Linked DNA regions of Arabidopsis thaliana. The protein of the gene in region 2 interacts with the protein of the main gene of each other region in a pairwise test. Each region holds a gene or a part of one and is shown on either strand. Other genes may lie near its edges.

Region 1 (10,056 bases), 460 kb from region 2:
ATCTTCCATGTGCTGTTGGGTAGGAATCTGAGCCTCATGTTGTTCAGCTTTTGTTGCTTTTGGATCTTTCTTCTTCTTCTTGCTCTTCTTGTCTTTCTTGTCTTTCCAGCTCTCCACTCTGTTCTTCCAAATTGGATTGCCATATTCATCATTCAGTTCTTCAGGAAGAAACAACAATCCCCAAGTTAGTTAAACTATTAATAACCTCACCAAATGTATACAAAGATTTTGGCTTTGTTTCTTAGTTCTTACCACTGTCTATTGTTGAGACTGTACTTATATGTCTAGCATGAATCCCTGAATCCTGAAAAAGTCAAGATAATGTTCTCAAATTTGTAAAATCTAATTAAGACATAAAAGCAACTAATCTTAGCTAAGCACACAAACCTGAGAAGTGTTATTGGTCTGTGTTGGAACAATGGATTGAGTTTTAGATGTCTTTGTCTCAACATCATCAAACACATTCTCTATGAAAGCAAAACAAAACAAAACAAGTTATAAATACTCTTTAACCAAAAAATCAAACTTTCGAATAAAGTTTGTAAATTTATAATTGTACCATCGTAAGGATTGCCGCAACGCAAGCAAATTCTTCGACCTTCTTTGAATTCATACTCAAGACAAGCTTTGCAGATCGGGAAACTACACTCATGACAAGCCACAAAGAACTCTCCGTTTGATTTTACACCAATCTCTTCACCACAAGTGTTGCAGATGGGAGACCTAGACTCCATCATCTTCGAATTCCCCTGTTTGGAGAAACAGAGAAATGAACCCTAATTAGGGATTGAGATTTGGATGGATAACAAGTTTGAGAAGCCATGAGAGTGGAGGTTTTGTAATAAGAGGAAAAAAAGTTATTAAAAAAAGTTTGGTGGATTGTGAAAAATCGGAAGTTGAGAAGTTTCTTTCACTGGTTTTCTGAGAAAGCTGATGGGTAAGCTAAATTTGGAGCTTTTTTGAAATGATTTTGCGGGAAAGTGAAGGAAAGTTTTAGTTGAGAGGAGTGACACATGTTCTTTGTCTCTAACCAGCGGCAGATACTAGCTTGCTTGCCTCCTAAGCGTCACCGTACTTTCTATATCAAGCTAACATTGAAGTTGTTATATCCGGTTTATTCGGGTCGGGTTATTCACCATTGAAGTTGTTATAATTTTTAAGTAAATCTTTTCAATCACCAACTTTCTATAAGAAAAATAAGAATTAAAATCACTTTTTTGAATCAAATTAATTTTAGCATTAAAATATTTAAATTTATAGTGTAAACAATTATTTAAGACATAAAATTAAAATTTATAGTTAAAATTATAAGACACATATGTATCTAAAAAAAATATTTAGTTTTTTTTTTATTTAGGTAAATGACAATTTGTGACAAATATTAAAGTCTTAAACCTAAAATTTTAATTGTCTTTGTCAGAAGAGAATTTTCACCGTTTACTACTAAAGAAAACACTCGTCATTTGGTTTAATATCTCTAATCTCTATAACAATTTGAGCTTTAGCTGTACCAAAAATAAATTTTGAGATATAATATCACTTCTCTAATTTTGTTTCTGCTTAATCACTTCTCTGTTCATTAACGTTTTTTGCATAATTCTACTCTACATTTGCAATGTTAGAACAAATCAATCTACACTCTTAACCAATTCAGTCTTTGCATCATCACATCTGAGTTTCCTCTGGTCTACTGTCTCAAATAAAACCGTTGACCAAATACAGCAAAACCATCCATCAAATTCGACCTTCTGATTTTGCTCAGATAAGTTGTAAGGGTTGAAGAATACTAAAGTTATGGGTTTCTACGTCTCTGTGGAAACAACTCTCTCTGACATTTCTAAACTCGACCAGGAAGAAGATTGTGAGCTTCTATAAGAAACAAGATAGATGATGAAACTGATGTATCCAACTACTCCACCAAAAACCAGAAACCCAACAAGAAACCCTTCCACTTCAGCCATGAAGAAATCTAGAAGAAGATACCCATTTATCATCATCACAAACACCGCCACAGTCCAAGCTAGCTTCTGCAAAGATCCCAACTAACTCGTTACAATCAAAAGCACATAACAATAAAGAGAGATGACAAAAAATTGCTTTACCTCAAGCGAAGGTCCGATCTTGAAGACACCCATGATATGTTCATTAGAAACCATAGTCAAAAGAGGAATAACCGCGAAAGGAATCTGCATCGACTGAAGAATGTTAAGCCATTCGTTTAAAACATCGAGCGAGCCCTCGGATGTGTTAAACATAATAGCAACAAACATAGTAGGTACAATAGCAAAGCTTCTCGTTATAAAAGCTGATAGCCATTGTTCCATTTGAAGATCTAAGAACCCTTCCATTATAAACTGTCCAGCATAAGTCCCGGTTATAGTACTGCTTTGTCCAGCAGCTAATAAACCAATCCCCCAAATGTATAGTATCGGGAAAACACCACCGCCATATTTCTCTTGTAGGTAATATCCCGCGTTAACCAGTCCTATACTATCAGCTTGTTTGGTTCCATAAAACCCTTTCGCGAAAACCGCAGTTACAAACAAATTGATCATGAACGAAACAAAAAGCGCGGCTGACGATTCGATTGTATAGTAGTTAAGAGCTTCTTGAACTCTGTTTATCTCCTTTGGATCCGTCTTCCTAGACTGCACTAAAGCTGAATGCAAGAACACATTGTGAGGCGTTATTACACATCCCACAACTCCAACAGCTTCTCTAATCGTCTTTGATCCGAGTTTCGGAATAATAATACCTTTCAAAATCATCATCAAGATAAAACCAAATCAAGAAATGACATCAAATAAGAGACAATGCTTAATCTTACAAACTTACCTATGAATAGTTCTTCAACACTTGGCTTAGTTTCATTAAACATCCAAGCGAACGAAAGCGCCATTGTCGCAATCAAAACCGCGAAAAGACCTTCTAATTTCCTCATTCCACATTTCTCCAAATACGAAATCAAGAAGCTGTTTTTTCACAAACAACACAAATCAAAACTTGTGTTACAAACAACACCGCAAAAAGACCTATTTTGTTTTTTAATAACTCAGGTGATCCTAAAGGCGTTCTAAGCCAAAGACCTAGTTTTGCTTACCAATCAAATGATGTGATGATAACACCAACCCAAATAGGTAAAAACCCTCGAGTCAAAATCTGAAGAGCGATCGCGCTTCCGATGACTTCTTGAATATCAGCTCCGATCAAAGCAACCTCCGCCATGAACCAAAGCAAGATTCGCGCCCACGAAGGATACTCACTTCGACAAATCTCCGCTAAATGTCGACCCGTGGCGACACCGATACGAGCAGAGAGAAGCTGCATCAGAAGTCCCATTAGCGTCGCCCATAGAAGAAGCCATAGGAGAGAGTAACCAGCCACAGCTCCGGCTTGTAAATCTCCTTCGATATTTCCTGGATCTAGAAACGCGATGCTCATGAGAAATCCAGGTCCGGTGAATTTCCATAGCTTTGCCCATGAGAATGGCGGAACTGAATCGTAGGTTTTGTCTCTGTCTTCTTCTACGTTCAGGATCTGATTCTCCGGTGGCGATTCGTGAAGCTCGTCCTCCTCTGGCTGAGAGGTTTCGGGAACTAATAGACGTTTGAATTCGCCGTTACTGTCGTTTGGTCTCTTAGGGCTGTTTTCTTGGCGGGAAACGGTGGATCCCGTCATCTTAGTAACGGAATATTCTTTCGGCGTTACTGACGACGTGATTTGTTTTAAGAAAATTTTAAAAGATTACATGGATTATTTTGATAAAATTAAAATTAAAGTCAAGAATAGTCAAATGAGAAAACAAAAGCAAATTCTAAAAATGAACTGTTATTAAAAGTTTCTATTATTAGAAACTGAATTGTGATCTCTATTTTTTTGACGAAAATTTTCTAAATTGGTATAACAAAAATTAGTTGTGTTCAAGGATTAGCACAATAAATATTGGTTTAGAGATATTTGCGGATTGAATTAAAAACAAACCATAGACCAGAACCGGTTAAATTACAAAATCCCTTAACCGGTACAGAATCAGACCAAAGCTAAGCAATTTTCAAACAAGCAAATCAAAAGGCATAACATAGTTTGTTTTCCTAAAAAAAAGCAAACATCTTCAAAAACAAAATTTGAATGTAAAATTTAAAAACCGATTTCAGCTTTAGGACATAAGACCATTTAGTTGGAGCAGCAACCAGTTTTCTTCACTGCGGAAACATCAACATCGATCTTCTCTCCTTTCGAAGGAACATTACCGGAATCTTCACCAGCCTCCATTGCTTTCTTGCTCACAACATGGTAAATCTGAGTGAGTACTTCAGAAAACGCGTTCTCAACATTGGTAGATTCAAGAGCTGAGGTTTCCATGAAGTAGAGTGATTCATTCTCTGCAAAAGATTTTGCATCTTCGGTTTGGACTGCTACAAGATGGCGAAGATCGGATTTGTTTCCCACAAGCATCACAACTATGTTTGGGTCAGTGTGGTCACGGAGTTCCCTTAGCCATCTCTCAACGTTTTCGAATGTTGAGTGTCGGGTTACGTCGTAAACAAGAAGCGCCCCAACAGCTCCTCGATAGTAAGCACTAGTGATTGCTCGGTATCTAAAAATAGCGAAAAGAGGAGAAACAAAAACCCGTTAACGACTTAGTCATTGAAACTCTGTTAAATTAGAAAGATAGGAACATAATAAGAACCGAAATGACAAGAAAGACTTCAAAGCAATAAGCTCTTCAGCTTCAATGGTAGAAAACGATCATTAAAGAAATCGATATCGTCATCAGAATTAACGAACATATAGAAACACCATGAACATATACGATACCGAAGATTATCATCAACCACTGGTTGATCAAACTAATCAGCAAAACAACAGAATTTCTACAAAGCTGGTAACTTTAAGCATAATTGTTGAGTTCTCTCATTATACACAAATACAATGTACACTTCACCTCCAGTAATTATATACACGATCACAGGTTAGGTTGATTTCTCAAGCTTTCTCTACGATAAACTGATTCCATTAACTAAGACAGATCTAATGAAATTGTATTGACTCCACAATGCATCAGAAGGCCAATACCTAAAACACAGATCGAGAAATGAACAAATGAAGACAAAATCAAAGAGACGGAGCTTAAACCTTTCTTGACCAGCAGTGTCCCAAATCTGGGCTTTGATGACTTTTTCATTAACATTCAAGCTACGAGTCGCGAACTCGACCCCGATCGTTGATTTAGACTCGAGACTAAACTCGTTCCTGGTGAATCGAGAAAGCAAATTGGACTTTCCAACACCTGAATCACCGATCAGAACCACCTTGAATAGGTAATCGTAATCATCATCTGCTCTGTAACCCGCCATTAACACTTCTCACTGAATCAAAAAAGCTTCACACTTTCAACGAATAAAGAAACGAAAATTGCTCTATGATCCCAGAAAATTGAACAAAACTTCGATTTTGCTTTTTTACTTTCTTCTTTATTCTCTTTAGATTCAAATATTTATTCCTCAGATTTCTACAGAAAGACACAGACTTTGAAAAAAGTTAGGGTAAGACTGGTGTCTTTCTAGCTGGACCATGATCACCGATAGATTCTGGGTGAAATATTTTGTATACATGTACTAAACTACCCCGGATTCACTCCCTAAGATCAGGGGTAGATCCGACATTTCGTTAAACTTTTGTATGTATATGTTACATGCTTTCATTTTCTTGAAAAGGTCAAAAAGTAGTGGTGGTGGTCATGTTACATTGGTAAACGGCGATATTTCAGTCACTCTCAATGATGATCTAACAAAAATGAAACATTTCTAGCTCTATCTTCTAGTTAGTGGATTCTGTATATACCCAATGGGTTTCAACACACACTAAAATGGAAGCCCATATGGGCTAATCACATAGTAGTTGTGTGTATTGTCTAAATTCTTTGAGGTTAGCAAAAACTCACATATCTGCTGCCATGTGAAAAGAGTTCAATGATTTGTGTATTATGTAATATGTAATCCAAAAACGCATCTGTACATTAAGAAAAGAAACAAAAAAAAGAGTGAAAAAGGAACATAGACAAATGTTCTGTGCTCCTCTCCACTCATCCTCCATTATTAGCCAAAAAATCCATTATTTTGTCATTACCATAAAAGTCTCCATCAACCCTTTTCCTCATGAAACCCTCCTATCAAAATTTAGATTCTTTACTTTTTCTTTTCTTTAAAAAATGTCTGAAACTCCACCTACATCTTCATCTTCTTCCTCTGTTTTAACTCAGAATGTTACAAAACCAGTTTCAGACAAACTTCTTCAGAAGTACATTGACGTGTCTGAGTTTCAGTTTGATTACCAGACAAGCGGTATCTGGTCTCCACCGTTTCAACGGACTGCTTTTCTTACACCACAAGGCAAAATTCTCACAGACAGAGAAATGGCAGAGAAATTTCAGAATCTTGTTGAAGAACCTCCACGGATCAAAAGGTACAATCTTTATTGTTGTCGTCAATAAGCTTTTGTAAATCTTATCTACAATGTACGATATATGGAGTATACAAACATGTTTCTACACGACTCTTTTGTTGTTGTTTTTACTTTTGGAAAGATTTTTAACGAAGATGAGACAACACACAGTTACAAAAGTAGATAAAACCTGGTTTAAACTGCAACAGTGCTCTGTTCTAAAGCTTCTTTACCGGTGATTCCATCTTTCAGAGTCTTGAAATACTCATTGTAGTCTTTCTCCGGTGGAGGATTCTCAGGATCTACCGTGAAAGGCTCGCTAAACGGAACCGTACTTTTAACCTGAAACAAACAAACAACACACAAAACAGCCCAATTCAGAAATTTAACTTTTTGAATAGCAACCCGGAAAAATCGAAAAATTGATGATTCTTTAAAAACCTCGAAGGTCTTGTTAAGAGCATACGGGCTTTCTAAAGCAGCGATGCATATACGCGCTACTTCGTCTCTTGATACCTTCCCCTATATAAAGGTAAAGTTGGTTAGGTTAGTTAACTTAAAGAGTTGTTGGATTTCAAGGAGAAGCGAAATTGAAAATACCGTAATGTTGTCTCCTTGTTCGAAAATGAGATCAGCTCCGGCAGGCTCTTCTGTTAAAGCACATGGCCGTACAATTGCAAATGGAATCCCGCTGTCGCGTATCAGATCCTCTCCCTAGTCATTCAAAAGTAAGAGCTTTAAAATCTTTTGAAAATGACTTTTCCAATTTTCTGCGAAGCAGAGAGTATAGAGAGACAAACCTTTAACTTGTAAGTGAGAATGAAATCAAGCTCTTTGTTTAATCTCACGGCCGGAGGTTGTTTGCTTAGATCCAAACCGGGTCTCTCTGGTCGAGTAACTCCCGCAGAGCCAACGTGAACAAACCTGTAACGATAAGTAACGAAATGCTAGTTCAGCATTTAGTGAAGAGTTTGGTTTCTAAAAAGCAAGAAACTAGATCAGACCTTGGAGTGACGGGGTCTTGGATATAAGCTCGAATGCTAGATAAAGGAAGCTCGAAAGGTCCTTCTTTGAATGTAGGGTTAAGCTTACCATCATACTCAAATTTGCTAAACATAAGCTGAAAAATAGCCAACTTATTAATCAAACATTTAGAATGGGAATTTTAAGAGGGTTAACACAAAAAGGAAAACAAACCTGTAGTGAAATGATACTGCTTGCATTAAAAGGTGGTGCATCTGTAACTGTACGTGCGCGAAATACAGGTCTTAAAGACGAGAAAGGTAAGCGTACCTATGATTTAAAGTAACAGAACTATAATTAATCTACCCACAAAAGTATATCGAAAATGAAAGACAAAAGTGATTTTACTTACAGATTGCCATTGGCCTGGTGAAGTGTCAAAACTGGCGGTGTAACCAACAGTATCCCAATCTTGGCTTGTTCGGACGATTAGCTTATAACGGAGTCCATCACCTTTTAGTCTTAGCTCTAGACCATCATATGCAGAGACATTCTCCGCCTCGGGAAAGTTCTAGAAGAAAAGTGTAAGACTCATGCTTCAGTGAGATAACGAAGGATAAAAAAGCTTGGAGAGATTCTGACATTTAGTCGTACCCTTTACCTTGGTTCGGACACTCGTAAATCCGCCATTATTTGTTGTGGAAACAATTCCTAACAAAACATGTTATGCTTATATAAGTAAAACCCCAAGAGAAGGAAAATGGCAAATAGAGTTGTTATCTTATCAAACCTTTAAAAATTCCGGTAGGTCCACCGTTTTCACCAGCGGTTAGATCTACTATGAAGTTACTTTCGCTGACACCTCCCATTACAACATCATCCAATGCTCCCCAAGGTAGATCCTTAAACGTGTTATCTATACAGATATATTGGTAAGTCTTTTATAATGCCATGTCAACTCATAGAAACCTAATCAAGTTCCTTGACCCAACTTACCCCCGACACCAAAAATAAGCTTCCCATTCTCAAGTCCAACACCATCTCTAACAGCATTGATTAAGTTCTTCATTCCAATGTATTCCACTAACTCGGGAGAGTCGCCTTTTATCTGTGAATAACCAAAATCTATAGGTTTTAGTTTTATTGAACATTGAGCACTAAATTCATCAAAACAATACTCAAGAAATGTTCTTATAGTCCCAGTACCTCTGGCTCGAAGAACCTGACTCCCTGCATTATAACCAATATCCAAACAGAGTCATTTCTCAAAGCTAGAATCTAAAGTTCAAAGCTTTTAAGAAATTCCATTCAGAAAAATTCACCGACCTGATTATATTTTTGTCTCTCAGGTGTATCTCCTTCCTTTGGACCAACAATAACAGAAACAGCATTGATCACTTTCCTCACTCCTTTGAACTTTTCAGGAACCAATGTATTCTCCTTTGTAATATCTGCAACAATCTGACAACATTGAAATATATGCAGATAGTTATCAATGGTCTTATAACTATAAAAATAACAAGAATACAATGTGGAAAATTTCAGTGGACTCACCAAGTCAATCTCAGGTCCTAACATCTTCCGAGCCTTCTCTTCATTTCTAACCTATGATTATTCCCCAAAAAGTTAAAGACTTTGCCCACATTTTCAAAATCAGAATTAAAACACAAGAAAAGAGAAACCTATCGAAAAGTTTAGTACCAATGCTTTAACAGGCAACCCTCTTTTCCTCAAGATATCAACAATCCTTCTTCCTACACCACCAGTAGCTCCAGCCACAAGTATGATTCCAGAAGTTCCCATTTCAGCAACCGGTTCCTCCGTTGCTCCGTTAGTAAGTTTCTCAAACACCGATGAAACAAACTTCACAAGCAAGAAACAATCAATTACTTCAAATGACTATATTACACCTCTCAATGAGAATCAAACAAAAGTCCTCATATATACCTTTAGAGGAGATGGTGGTCCATTGAAAAAGTACAATGTTTTGACGAATCTACCAAAGTCCCAACCTTGAGAACCTGATTTCGCAGTGACCCGTTTTCTGTAAGACCTTAGCTCGAGAGAATGTGAAACTTGTTGGTCACGAAGACGTCGGCTTTTATCATCAAGTTGAAGAAACGGTTTAGGAAGTGAAGTGTACTTAGAGAATTTTATATCAATACTTGATGAAGAACCCTGCAAAGTATTAACAGAAAAGTCTTCAAATTTATTGAGAATTTTGCAGACTCAGTTTCAGAAAACAGACATATTTAATAAGAAAAAACTGAGAAAATGCTTAACCTGAAGTTTGATGATGGAAGGAGATAACGACGATGAGAGCTTGAGTGAAGACGAAACCTCCATTTCTGAATTCAACAACACTCGAAAGATTGAATTCTGGAAAAATCTCAAAAGCGCAAAAGATTTTTGTGCTGTGGAATCGATAGAGATTGTAGACCACACACGTGGGGAAGTCTCAGCGGTTTGTTTTCCGGTTTAATTAACCGGTAGGGTGGTTCCGGTGATACCGATCTAATTCAAACGACATAGTTTTACTCTGATGAAGTTTCACGCAAAAGATTTAATGAGGAAATGCGTCTGCCGGGAGTCGAACCCGGGTCTATTGCTTGGAAGGCAATTATCCTAACCGTTGGACTACAGACGCTA
Region 2 (10,056 bases):
GTTAAACATCTTCAGGTTATGGAGCAGAGGCAACAACAGATTATGTCTTTCCTTGCTAAAGCTGTACAGAATCCTACTTTCCTCTCTCAGTTTATACAGAAGCAGACTGATAGTAATATGCATGTAACCGAGGCCAATAAGAAGCGGAGACTCAGAGAGGATAGTACTGCTGCTACTGAGAGTAATAGTCATAGCCATAGCTTGGAAGCATCAGATGGACAGATAGTTAAGTATCAGCCACTTAGAAACGATTCAATGATGTGGAACATGATGAAAACAGATGATAAGTATCCGTTTCTTGACGGGTTCTCATCTCCAAACCAGGTATCAGGAGTCACTCTTCAAGAGGTACTACCCATAACTTCAGGACAGTCACAGGCATATGCATCTGTACCATCAGGACAGCCTTTATCATACTTACCCTCTACTTCAACTTCTCTCCCGGATACCATAATGCCAGAGACTTCCCAGATACCACAATTGACACGAGAGAGTATCAACGACTTCCCTACAGAAAACTTCATGGATACAGAGAAGAATGTTCCAGAGGCATTCATCTCTCCAAGCCCATTCCTTGATGGTGGTTCAGTCCCGATTCAGCTTGAGGGAATACCCGAAGACCCCGAGATTGATGAACTAATGAGTAACTTTGAATTCCTTGAAGAATATATGCCAGAAAGCCCAGTTTTTGGAGATGCAACTACACTAGAGAACAACAACAACAACAACAACAACAACAACAACAACAACAACAACAACAACAACAACAACACAAATGGTAGACATATGGATAAGCTTATAGAAGAATTGGGTCTTCTCACATCAGAAACAGAACACTAGTAAAGGATTATGTTTAGTATCCATTGTAAAGTCTTTCTCTACTAACATTATCGTTAGGACTCAGTAGTACGGTTGCAACTTTGTGCAGAAATCTTTCCTTGGATAATAGAAGAGTTGTATTTATTATTAAAAAGAAAATGCCATTTTTTCTAATTTATTGTAGAAAGTGACTACTTTGTCCAATCATATTTGTAGTCCTTTTTCGATAAGAAAAACAGAGTTGGAATTTTCCCGGGGAAGCTCTTTTCAATGGAGGTCCTTGCGAGCTCTTCATTATCCCCAATTTCTTTTACTAAGCCTAACAAAATAAACCCTAATTTCTCAATCCAGGTACTTTTCTTTCGTATAGTTGACTCCTTTTTAAGTTTCTCTCCTGCAATTCCCCAATTTGTGTCCGTTTAGCTGTGTAATAGAATTTTCAACCTTTGCAGGTGAAATTGTGGGTAAAACAACCTCCAAAGATTTCAAAAGCTAGCAAATTTAGTTATGCTCGTAGTCGTAGTAACATTTCAAGGAGCAATGCAGCAAACCCAGGAGTCGTGTTCGTCTGTAATAGATTTCTGTGTGTTATCGAAAGAAATGATCAGAGGAAATTATCTGGGAAGGTTATGATGAAATCTTCTGTTAATTTCAGACAGAATCTCTCTGTTGCATTAGTTCGGATCGTTTCTGTTCTGCTTGTCTCTTCCATTTCTGTTGTTACCACTGATTCACCACCATCATGTAAGTTCTGTTTTTTTTACATGTTGAGAAACCATATAAATTTCGGGGAATGCAATTTGATTTCATTTGTGTGGCTTTTTTTCTCTGTCTCTTTAGGGGGTCTTACTGAAGAGAATCTTCTCTTCCTCGAGGCTTGGAGAACAATTGATCGTGCTTATATTGATAAAACCTTTAATGGACAAAGCTGGTTTCGTTACAGAGAGACTGCTTTACGAAATGAGCCTATGAACACTCGAGAAGAGACATGTATGTGTGAATAGCTTTATTAACCTTTTACAAAATTAGTACAACTTGCTTCTAAATTTGGTGTTGGTTTGTGTTTAGACATGGCTATCAAGAAAATGGTGGCAACACTAGATGATCCTTTTACTCGATTCTTGGAGCCCGGAAAGTTCAAGAGTTTGCGGGTAAGATTTCCTGAAAATATACAGTTCTGAATTTAGCAAATAGACTGTATGTAAGATCTAGTAATTAAATGGTTTGGTTGAAGGCAGTCGGGGACTCAAGGGGCGGTTACGGGTGTTGGGCTGTCGATAGGTTACCCCACTGCATCAGATGGACCACCAGCTGGGCTTGTTGTTATATCAGCTGCTCCAGGAGGTCCTGCAAATAGGGCGGGGATATTACCTGGCGATGTTATTCAAGGAATTGATAATACAACCACAGAAACTCTTACCATATACGATGCTGCACAGATGTTGCAGTGAGTTACATTTCCATTTTTCATCATTCCTTAACTTTGAAAAATCTAAGTGTGACGAGTTAATGGTTCTGAAGTAAGAAATGATGATAATGCTTTGGTTGAAATGCAGGGGACCTGAAGGAAGTGCAGTGGAGCTAGCGATTCGCAGTGGACCTGAAACGAGACTCTTAACTTTGACGTATTTCTCTCATGCCTACATTTATCTTCGTTGTCACGTTCATTTGGTAACTACAATTGTTGTTATTTCAGGCGAGAGCGGGTTTCTGTGAATCCAGTGAAGTCAAGATTATGTGAACTTCCTGGTTCTGGGAGTAACTCCCCTAAGATTGGCTATATCAAGCTAACAACATTCAATCAAAATGCTTCTAGTATGTATTCTTTGGCATTACTGATTCCTTCTTACAAATTTATCTACTCTCTAGTTTATTATCTCTCAAAGTCTTAACACTTTTTTTGTAGGTGCGGTAAGGGAAGCTATTGAAACCTTGAGAGGCAACAATGTAAACGCATTCGTCTTGGACCTTCGAGACAATAGGTGATGATTTTTTGAGAACATAAACTCTTTTTTGCTTTTGCAACAGCCTTTCTTAAAAAAATTGTTCTTGCTGCAGTGGAGGTTCTTTCCCAGAAGGAATTGAGATTGCTAAATTTTGGTAATAACCTCATAAACCGTTACATATAACGAATTAGAAAATTTCAAGATCCACAGCTATCATAATAGAAACTTCAACATTTGCTATCCACAGGTTAGATAAAGGAGTGATTGTGTATATTTGCGATAGTCGAGGTGTTAGAGATATATATGATACTGATGGAAGCAATGCTATAGCAACCTCTGAGCCTCTTGCCGTTCTTGTATGAGCTTCCATCCTTCCTTTCCTCAAATCTAGTCCTTATTGTAATCTGTAAATGCCATGAAAGATTTCATTCTCACACAATCTTTCTCTTTTCCAGGTTAACAAAGGCACCGCGAGTGCCAGCGAGATATTAGCAGGTGCCTTGAAAGATAATAAACGTGCTCTGGTTTATGGAGAACCAACTTACGGAAAAGGGTAAACAAAATGGCGCTATTTTTTATTCTTCTTCTCAGAGACCGAACCGTAAAATTCCTGAGACTTTAACGCATTTTGCAGCAAGATACAGTCGGTTTTTGAGCTTTCTGATGGTTCGGGCTTGGCAGTAACAGTTGCTCGATATGAAACACCAGCTCACACAGATATAGACAAAGTATGAAACTACTTTCTTCCTGTAGTAACCCCCTCTGTGTCTACACTACACTACATACAAACATGTTCTTACAGTCTTGACTCGTTGCTGGTTGTTGTATAGGTCGGTGTAACTCCTGATCATCCATTGCCAAAGTCGTTTCCGAAAGATGAAGAGGCGTTCTGTGGATGCCTTAAGGATCCTACAGCTGCTTGTTATCTCAATCAAGGCCTACTTTTTTCTAGATGATTTTGTTTTGTTCAAACTTTGTTCTGACAACATATGACTAAAATTTATTGACTCAAGCTTTGTACTTTTGAAGATTCGCCATAGCTTTAGCTAATCGAAACCAGAAATTTCACATTTAAGAACACAAACAGAGGATTTTCCTTCAGAACCAAGTTATATTACAGAGACAAAGCAGTAACACTCTCTCCTTCAGAACCAAGACTCAGCAAACACAAGCCAAATCAAACCAAAGTGAACTACTCTATATACTCGATAACAAGAAACAAGAGACCAATAGTCCAACAGACTAAATTGTAGGAACAAAGAGAGTCGTGACAAACATATACTCATTGATGCTTCTTGATTGATGATGAAGCACTTGTCCATGCTTTTATGAGCTTGGGGAAATCAAACTGCGAGCACTATAATAACAATCATGAGCACGATACCAAAAATCACCAAGAGCAAGCACGTCTACAAGAAAAAGAAAAAACAATGGAAAGAAGAAGTTAGTAGGCTGATCTGATCATCCAAAATCCTCAAAAACACATTTCATGGTACGATCAAAAGCTTTAATATATTACCAGAGAAGAATTTGATCTTTGTGTCTTTGATGCCTTACGAGATGGGATTTTCCTTGGGCAGTTGCAGCGTAAGAGTTATCGATGTGAGTACCAATATCATCTACACAAAAATAGGTCTTACGTCTTAGGTTTTGAAGACATAAGTGAGAGTTTTAGCATAACAAGAGTTGGAATCAGTTTTACCTATCATGTTTCCTTGATCGTGCACCAACACTGCCAAGTCTTTGAAGATCTCGTGCACCTCGCCAATTTGCTGCTGAATTTCTTGTATCCCTTGCTCTCTTTCCTCAATAACAGCCTCATTGAACGCAATCTCATTGTCCAACAGTACAAGTTCTTGTCTGCAACAAAAAACAACAAACCAATCAATAGATAACTCATCAACCGAACAAAGATGGACACCATTGTCTGTATAAACTAACCTTTTTGATTCCACAAGAAGGGCACGCTGCTCTGGATGCTTATCTCCATTCACATCTATCTCACTGGATGTGTAGCTACATTACCAAAGCCAGGAAATCAATACACAAAACCACAAAAGTAAACATAAACCATCAATGAGCATTAACCTTGAGGGAAGAGATGGCTTGTGGACAAGAGGAGCATATACGGTTTCTCTTTCAGCAGCAAGACGCTGAGCCTTTTGAAACTCTTTCAACACAGCTTGAAAGTCCTTTGCAAGCTTAGCATCCACAATCTTCTTCTTTTGCTAACCAACCAATCAAATTCCTATTAATCAACAGAAGTAGCAGAAGAAGAACAAGAATCTTCCTTTATCATAAATGACTCACATTTACACCTCTTTGATGATCAGTTTCACTAGCTTCTTTAAGTTTAGCTGATGTATCTTTCACTAACTGTCCAATATATAATCTTGTCTTATGCCTAAAACAAGCAAATTGACTCAATTAGAAACAATTTCAAGTACCCTAAAACTCAAAAAGGAGATAACTTTAACTTTGAGAAGTACTTACAGCTTCTCTCTGAGCTCAGGCGTATCTTTAGGAGTACCAAGAGTATTGACAAGACGATGGAAAGTGGAAACACTTGTATTGATCTGAAATATACCAGAAGCAACATCTTGAGTCGTGTCTTGTCTACTACCACCACCATTGATGTTCCTTGAAGAAGCTAATGATCTTCCTCTTCCCGCCTCTAAATCTTGAAAACTCATTCTTTCTCTCTCTTTCTCGAAAACCCCGCCACTAAATTATCCTCTTTTATTCGCCCAAGAAAACAAAGCAACAACAAAATTCGATTTACAGTCGATAACGGAGATCGAGGGAAGAGAGGATGTGATGGTGATTTCAAGATTCCCCGGTGAGTTTCTCTCTCTCCGGACAGATTGAGAAAAAACGTGAACCGCGGAGAGAGAGATTGAGCAAAACGTGAAATGTCACATTACCTGTATGAACGGAAAAAGCTTGTACTTTTTTCATTTTTTGATCCTTAACTTTTCTATAATATTCCAAACGTGACTCTATAGTTTAGAATCTTAACGGTATATCCTCCTTTTATTATAAAGTGATAAATGGTCTACGATGATTACATTGCTCTGAGCTCAGGACACGTGGATGGTAGACATTGGTGGAGAAAGTGATTATGTCACGACGTTAATTGATTATTTTAACCAAGATACTAACAGATTACGGATTAATTAGAATTAGATTAAGGATTATGATAGATTAGTCCAGAATTTAATGAATAAAATCTCTAGATAGAACTTTACGTGACTAAAAAGGGTCAAAAGCAAAAGAAGTTTAAAATTAGGACTCTTTTTTAATCATCGCACGTGAGAAGGTTCCGACCATATCACGTGCCAAACCCGAATAAGACTCGTTTTTCCAAGGCGTTTAAAATCAGGTCCCACTTTTTTCTTTTATTTTTCACTCTTCTTCACATCAAATCCGCGACCAGAGATTTTTCTTTCCTTTGATTTTTCGTTTCGTTTCGTTTCAAATATTGTTCCTCCTGTGTGAAGGAAAAACAATCTTCCATTTCAATCCGCGTCAACGCGATTTTCTTCATGACGGTGAGCTTATCTAATCTCTTCGCTTTTTGAAACTAGTTAGTTTTGGTTTTTGTTTTGGATTTATCCTGAGAAAGGTCGATGTTTTTGCTGTTGATTTGATTGAGGAAGATGTGAACAGATCTGTTGATTTTGATTGTTGTTTTCTAATTTGTTTTGCGAGAAATGGCGTTGATTATTAGTGAAGAATCGCTAGTTTTTTTATTTTAGAGGATTTGAAGCTGTTCTCTGTTTTTGATTTGGGTGAAAATTACTGTTTCTGATATGAAGAAATTTTTTTTTAGGGTAAAATTGCTTTTGTTTGGATTAGGATATTCACTTTAGCATTTGTTTTGTTTTGTAATCTGTTAATATCTGATCTGTGCCATAGGATTAGTTTTGAGACAAGTATTTGCTTTTCCTAGATTCTGAGGTTCTTTTTATCTTCTTGTATTGATGATGCAATGTTTCTGTGTTTTCTGATCATTGTATTGATAATATTGGTTGCTTTAGGAGTGTGTGTGTGTGTGTTTAGTCATTGTTTTAGGCGATAAGGAATCGAGAAATGTGTAATCGAACAACTAATGAATAAGTCTGAGATTTTGTTTAGCTGGTGAAATGGTTTGAAATTTTAGTTTTTAAGTCACACGAGATTATATTTCACTTGCAGATGACAACAGTTAAAGTGAGCAATGTTTCTCTAGGAGCAACCGATAGAGATCTCAAGGAGTTCTTTTCCTTTTCTGGCGATATTCTGTACCTTGAGACGCAGAGGTTTGGTTTCCTCTCTATTGTTCCTTTTGAAAGTTTTAGATTACAGCTTTTAGTTCGTCAGGTTCTTAACTCTTTTGACATGTTTGTACAGCGAGACTGAGCGGACTAAACTGGCATATGTCACTTTTAAGGATCTACAAGGAGCTGAAACTGCGGTTCTTCTCTCGGTATTTTTACTTCTTAGCCTGTATTAGTTCCTCTATATGACTGTATCCTTTGAGTGACTGAGTATTAATGTAATTCTTTCATTTCAGGGAGCAACGATTGTTGATTCTTCAGTCATTGTCTCTATGGCTCCTGATTACCAACTGTCCCCTGAGGCTTTAGCTTCCTTGGTAAGCTCGTAATTCATCATCTCTTCTGAGTTTTTTCACAAGTTAAAATCTTACCATTTCATCTTTTTCACAGGAACCCAAGGACAGCAATAAATCTCCCAAGGCAGGTGACTCCGTGTTGAGAAAAGCCGAAGATGTTGTGAGCAGCATGCTTGCAAAGGGCTTTATCCTGGGAAAAGATGCCATAGCTAAAGCCAAAAGTGTTGACGAGAAGCACCAGCTAACATCTACAGCATCAGCCAAAGTCGCATCTTTTGACAAGAAAATTGGTTTCACTGATAAGATCAACACAGGCACGGTGGTAGTGGGAGAAAAGGTCAGGGAAGTTGATCAGAAGTACCAAGTCTCAGAGAAAACCAAATCAGCAATCGCTGCAGCGGAGCAGACAGTGAGCAATGCAGGTTCAGCTATAATGAAGAACCGGTATGTTCTCACAGGTGCCACGTGGGTTACTGGAGCATTCAACAAAGTTGCTAAAGCTGCAGAAGAAGTTGGACAAAAGGCTAAAGAGAAAGTTGGTATGGCTGAGGAAGAGGATAAGAGGAAAGTGGTTGATGAGTTTGCTAGAGTTCACTTGTCTGAATCACCAAAGGCAGCTTCATCAACGCAAGAAGCCGAACGTGAATCAAAACTCTCTGAATCTCCTGAAGCAAAGAAAGATTCTGAACATCTTGAGCCACAATCGAAACCATTGCAGCAACAATCTCCTCCACCTATGGCTTCAGCTCCTGCTCCGGCTCAACCTTGAGATATGCAATCAAAGACCTTTCTGATTCTTGTTGTAAACGGTAAAACTTGGAACTAATCTCTCTCAGATTGTTGAAGATGAAGATTGAACTTGTTATTTAGGACGAAGACTTGTGTTCTTGTAACATTGGATTCATGGTCGATTTGGTAATTAGACCTTAAAAAGAAAACAATTTTGTTCTTTTCGTTTTTCTTAAACTTATTTAAACCGGGCTAATCATCATGGTTAACTGAACCAAATACCGATCGATTTTTATTTTAAAATCAAAAATTTGATTAGAGCAATTAGCCCGTCAAGTGATTTTATGTAACTGAAAGTAACAAACCAAAGTAGATGTTACAAACACATTTGACAGGAAACGCTTTGTCGGTGATCTAAGAACTCTAATTATAAGAAGATTTTAAGCACTTTAAATTCAAAGAAGTATCAATTAAGAATAAATGTATATATTGACATTTGACAAAACTAAAGGAATAAAATCTCGACCAGTTAAACGCATTTATCAAAATATTTTGTTCTCAAGTGAAAAAAGAACAGATTTATTCATGGTATAAAAGGAAAAAGACAATTCGTTTTCTCACAATTATATATTGTTTGTAAACACATCATCTTAATTGTGCAAACAATATCAAAATTATACAAATAGAAAAGAGCACAGAAAAAAATGGAGAAGTCAGCTTTGATATTCATCGGTATTCTACTTTTTTCAACATGTGAGTTTCACAACTAAATTTATGTACCAATTGTATTCATCATCCTTATCATGTCATGAGCGTTTCTATAAATCATTTCGGTGATTTTTAGCAGGTACATCGATTATGGCACGAACTGGATATGTATCTTGCAAGACGAATTCTGACTGTGTTAAACTCAAATGTCCAACGCCATTTGGTGGCCCCAAATGTATTAGCGGTAGTTGTGAATGCCCCTTTAAAGAACTCATGACATTACCGAATGATACCAATTATGGTGTGGCTGCCTGCATTGACTATTGCAAGGCAAAAGGTGAAATTGTTTATGCATGTATCTTAAACCATTGTTACTCTTACAAACCTCCCATGTAATTTTATTAAGTTTTTGCGCATAAGGTTTTCAAATATCTAATTTTATCACTATTAATATCTTTTGAATATCGATAATATCATTTAATTACTATAGTTTATGTTTGGACATTTGACTGAAAATTAAACTTATAGTTTGAATGTTTTTCTTTCACTTATTTGTTAGATTCATTTGTATATTTTGTGTACTTAATCGTTTATGAACATAAGACAAGTTAAATTGATATTTTATCAGGTTTGTTAGTGTCCTAAATTATACTTGTTTTACATAAATATTAGATATTCATTAAAAATATATTTCTCTATGGAAATTAAAGAAACAACAATAATTGTAGTTCAGTCGAGATAAAAATCAGTTCAACAAAAATATCATGACAATCCGGCAAAAATTTAGTAAAAATTTGGAATAAATCCGTAAAACCTTATACAATATAACCTCTATAAATTAATACTCTATAAATTAATAACCTCTATAAATTAATAAATTCTTCCGGTTCTGAGTTGAGACCAGTATAAAAAGTGACAAAAATCGATAAATTAATAAGATAATAATTTTTTTGAAATCTATGTAAATATATGGTCCCATCAATATCATAAATTAATAATTGTATAAATGTATCAACTATATATATATATATATATATATATATATTATATGTAAAAAAAATTCTCTAAAATATATTTATAATATTTTTTTTGCTTAAATTCATATTTATTCTTTGTTTGATTATAGTTTTCATATTTTACTGTATCAAAACTTTTGATGTTGTTTTTTAGACATTATTATTATGTTTTACTTGTAAATGGTTCTATAAATATATTTTCTATAATGAAAGAAATCTTATA

What was found. Proteins that work in one complex are often made in the same cells at the same time.
Region 1: the proteins of AT4G17720 (region 2) and RABA1d interact in a two-hybrid assay, tested with the Arabidopsis thaliana proteins (2 studies listed by BioGRID).

Annotation. Positions count from the first base shown.
Region 1 is NC_003075.7:10,315,983-10,326,038, forward strand, and holds RABA1d (RAB GTPase homolog A1D), read right to left. Parts: upstream 5,592-10,056; 5' UTR 5,358-5,591; coding exon 5,137-5,357; intron 4,598-5,136; coding exon 4,174-4,597; 3' UTR 3,880-4,173; downstream 1-3,879. Other genes in the region: IRX1 (cellulose synthase family protein), read right to left, coding at 1-158, 253-304, 388-467, 560-737; NRAMP5 (NRAMP metal ion transporter family protein), read right to left, coding at 1,803-2,027, 2,103-2,755, 2,836-2,972, 3,101-3,678; AT4G18810 (NAD(P)-binding Rossmann-fold superfamily protein), read right to left, coding at 6,281-6,379, 6,646-6,786, 6,886-6,966, 7,045-7,158, 7,245-7,368, 7,449-7,564, 7,642-7,737, 7,820-7,978 and 9 more.
Region 2 is NC_003075.7:9,860,753-9,870,808, reverse strand, and holds AT4G17720 (RNA-binding (RRM/RBD/RNP motifs) family protein), read left to right. Parts: upstream 1-6,145; 5' UTR 6,146-6,310; coding exon 6,311-6,316; intron 6,317-6,962; coding exon 6,963-7,066; intron 7,067-7,157; coding exon 7,158-7,233; intron 7,234-7,320; coding exon 7,321-7,401; intron 7,402-7,474; coding exon 7,475-8,149; 3' UTR 8,150-8,444; downstream 8,445-10,056. Other genes in the region: HSF1 (heat shock factor 1), read left to right, coding at 1-840; AT4G17740 (Peptidase S41 family protein), read left to right, coding at 1,090-1,170, 1,272-1,563, 1,660-1,809, 1,888-1,970, 2,058-2,266, 2,376-2,444, 2,516-2,634, 2,726-2,801 and 5 more; SYP23 (syntaxin of plants 23), read right to left, coding at 4,092-4,113, 4,285-4,384, 4,468-4,625, 4,707-4,781, 4,854-4,993, 5,076-5,169, 5,259-5,458; AT4G17718 (Defensin-like (DEFL) family protein), read left to right, coding at 8,814-8,862, 8,957-9,213.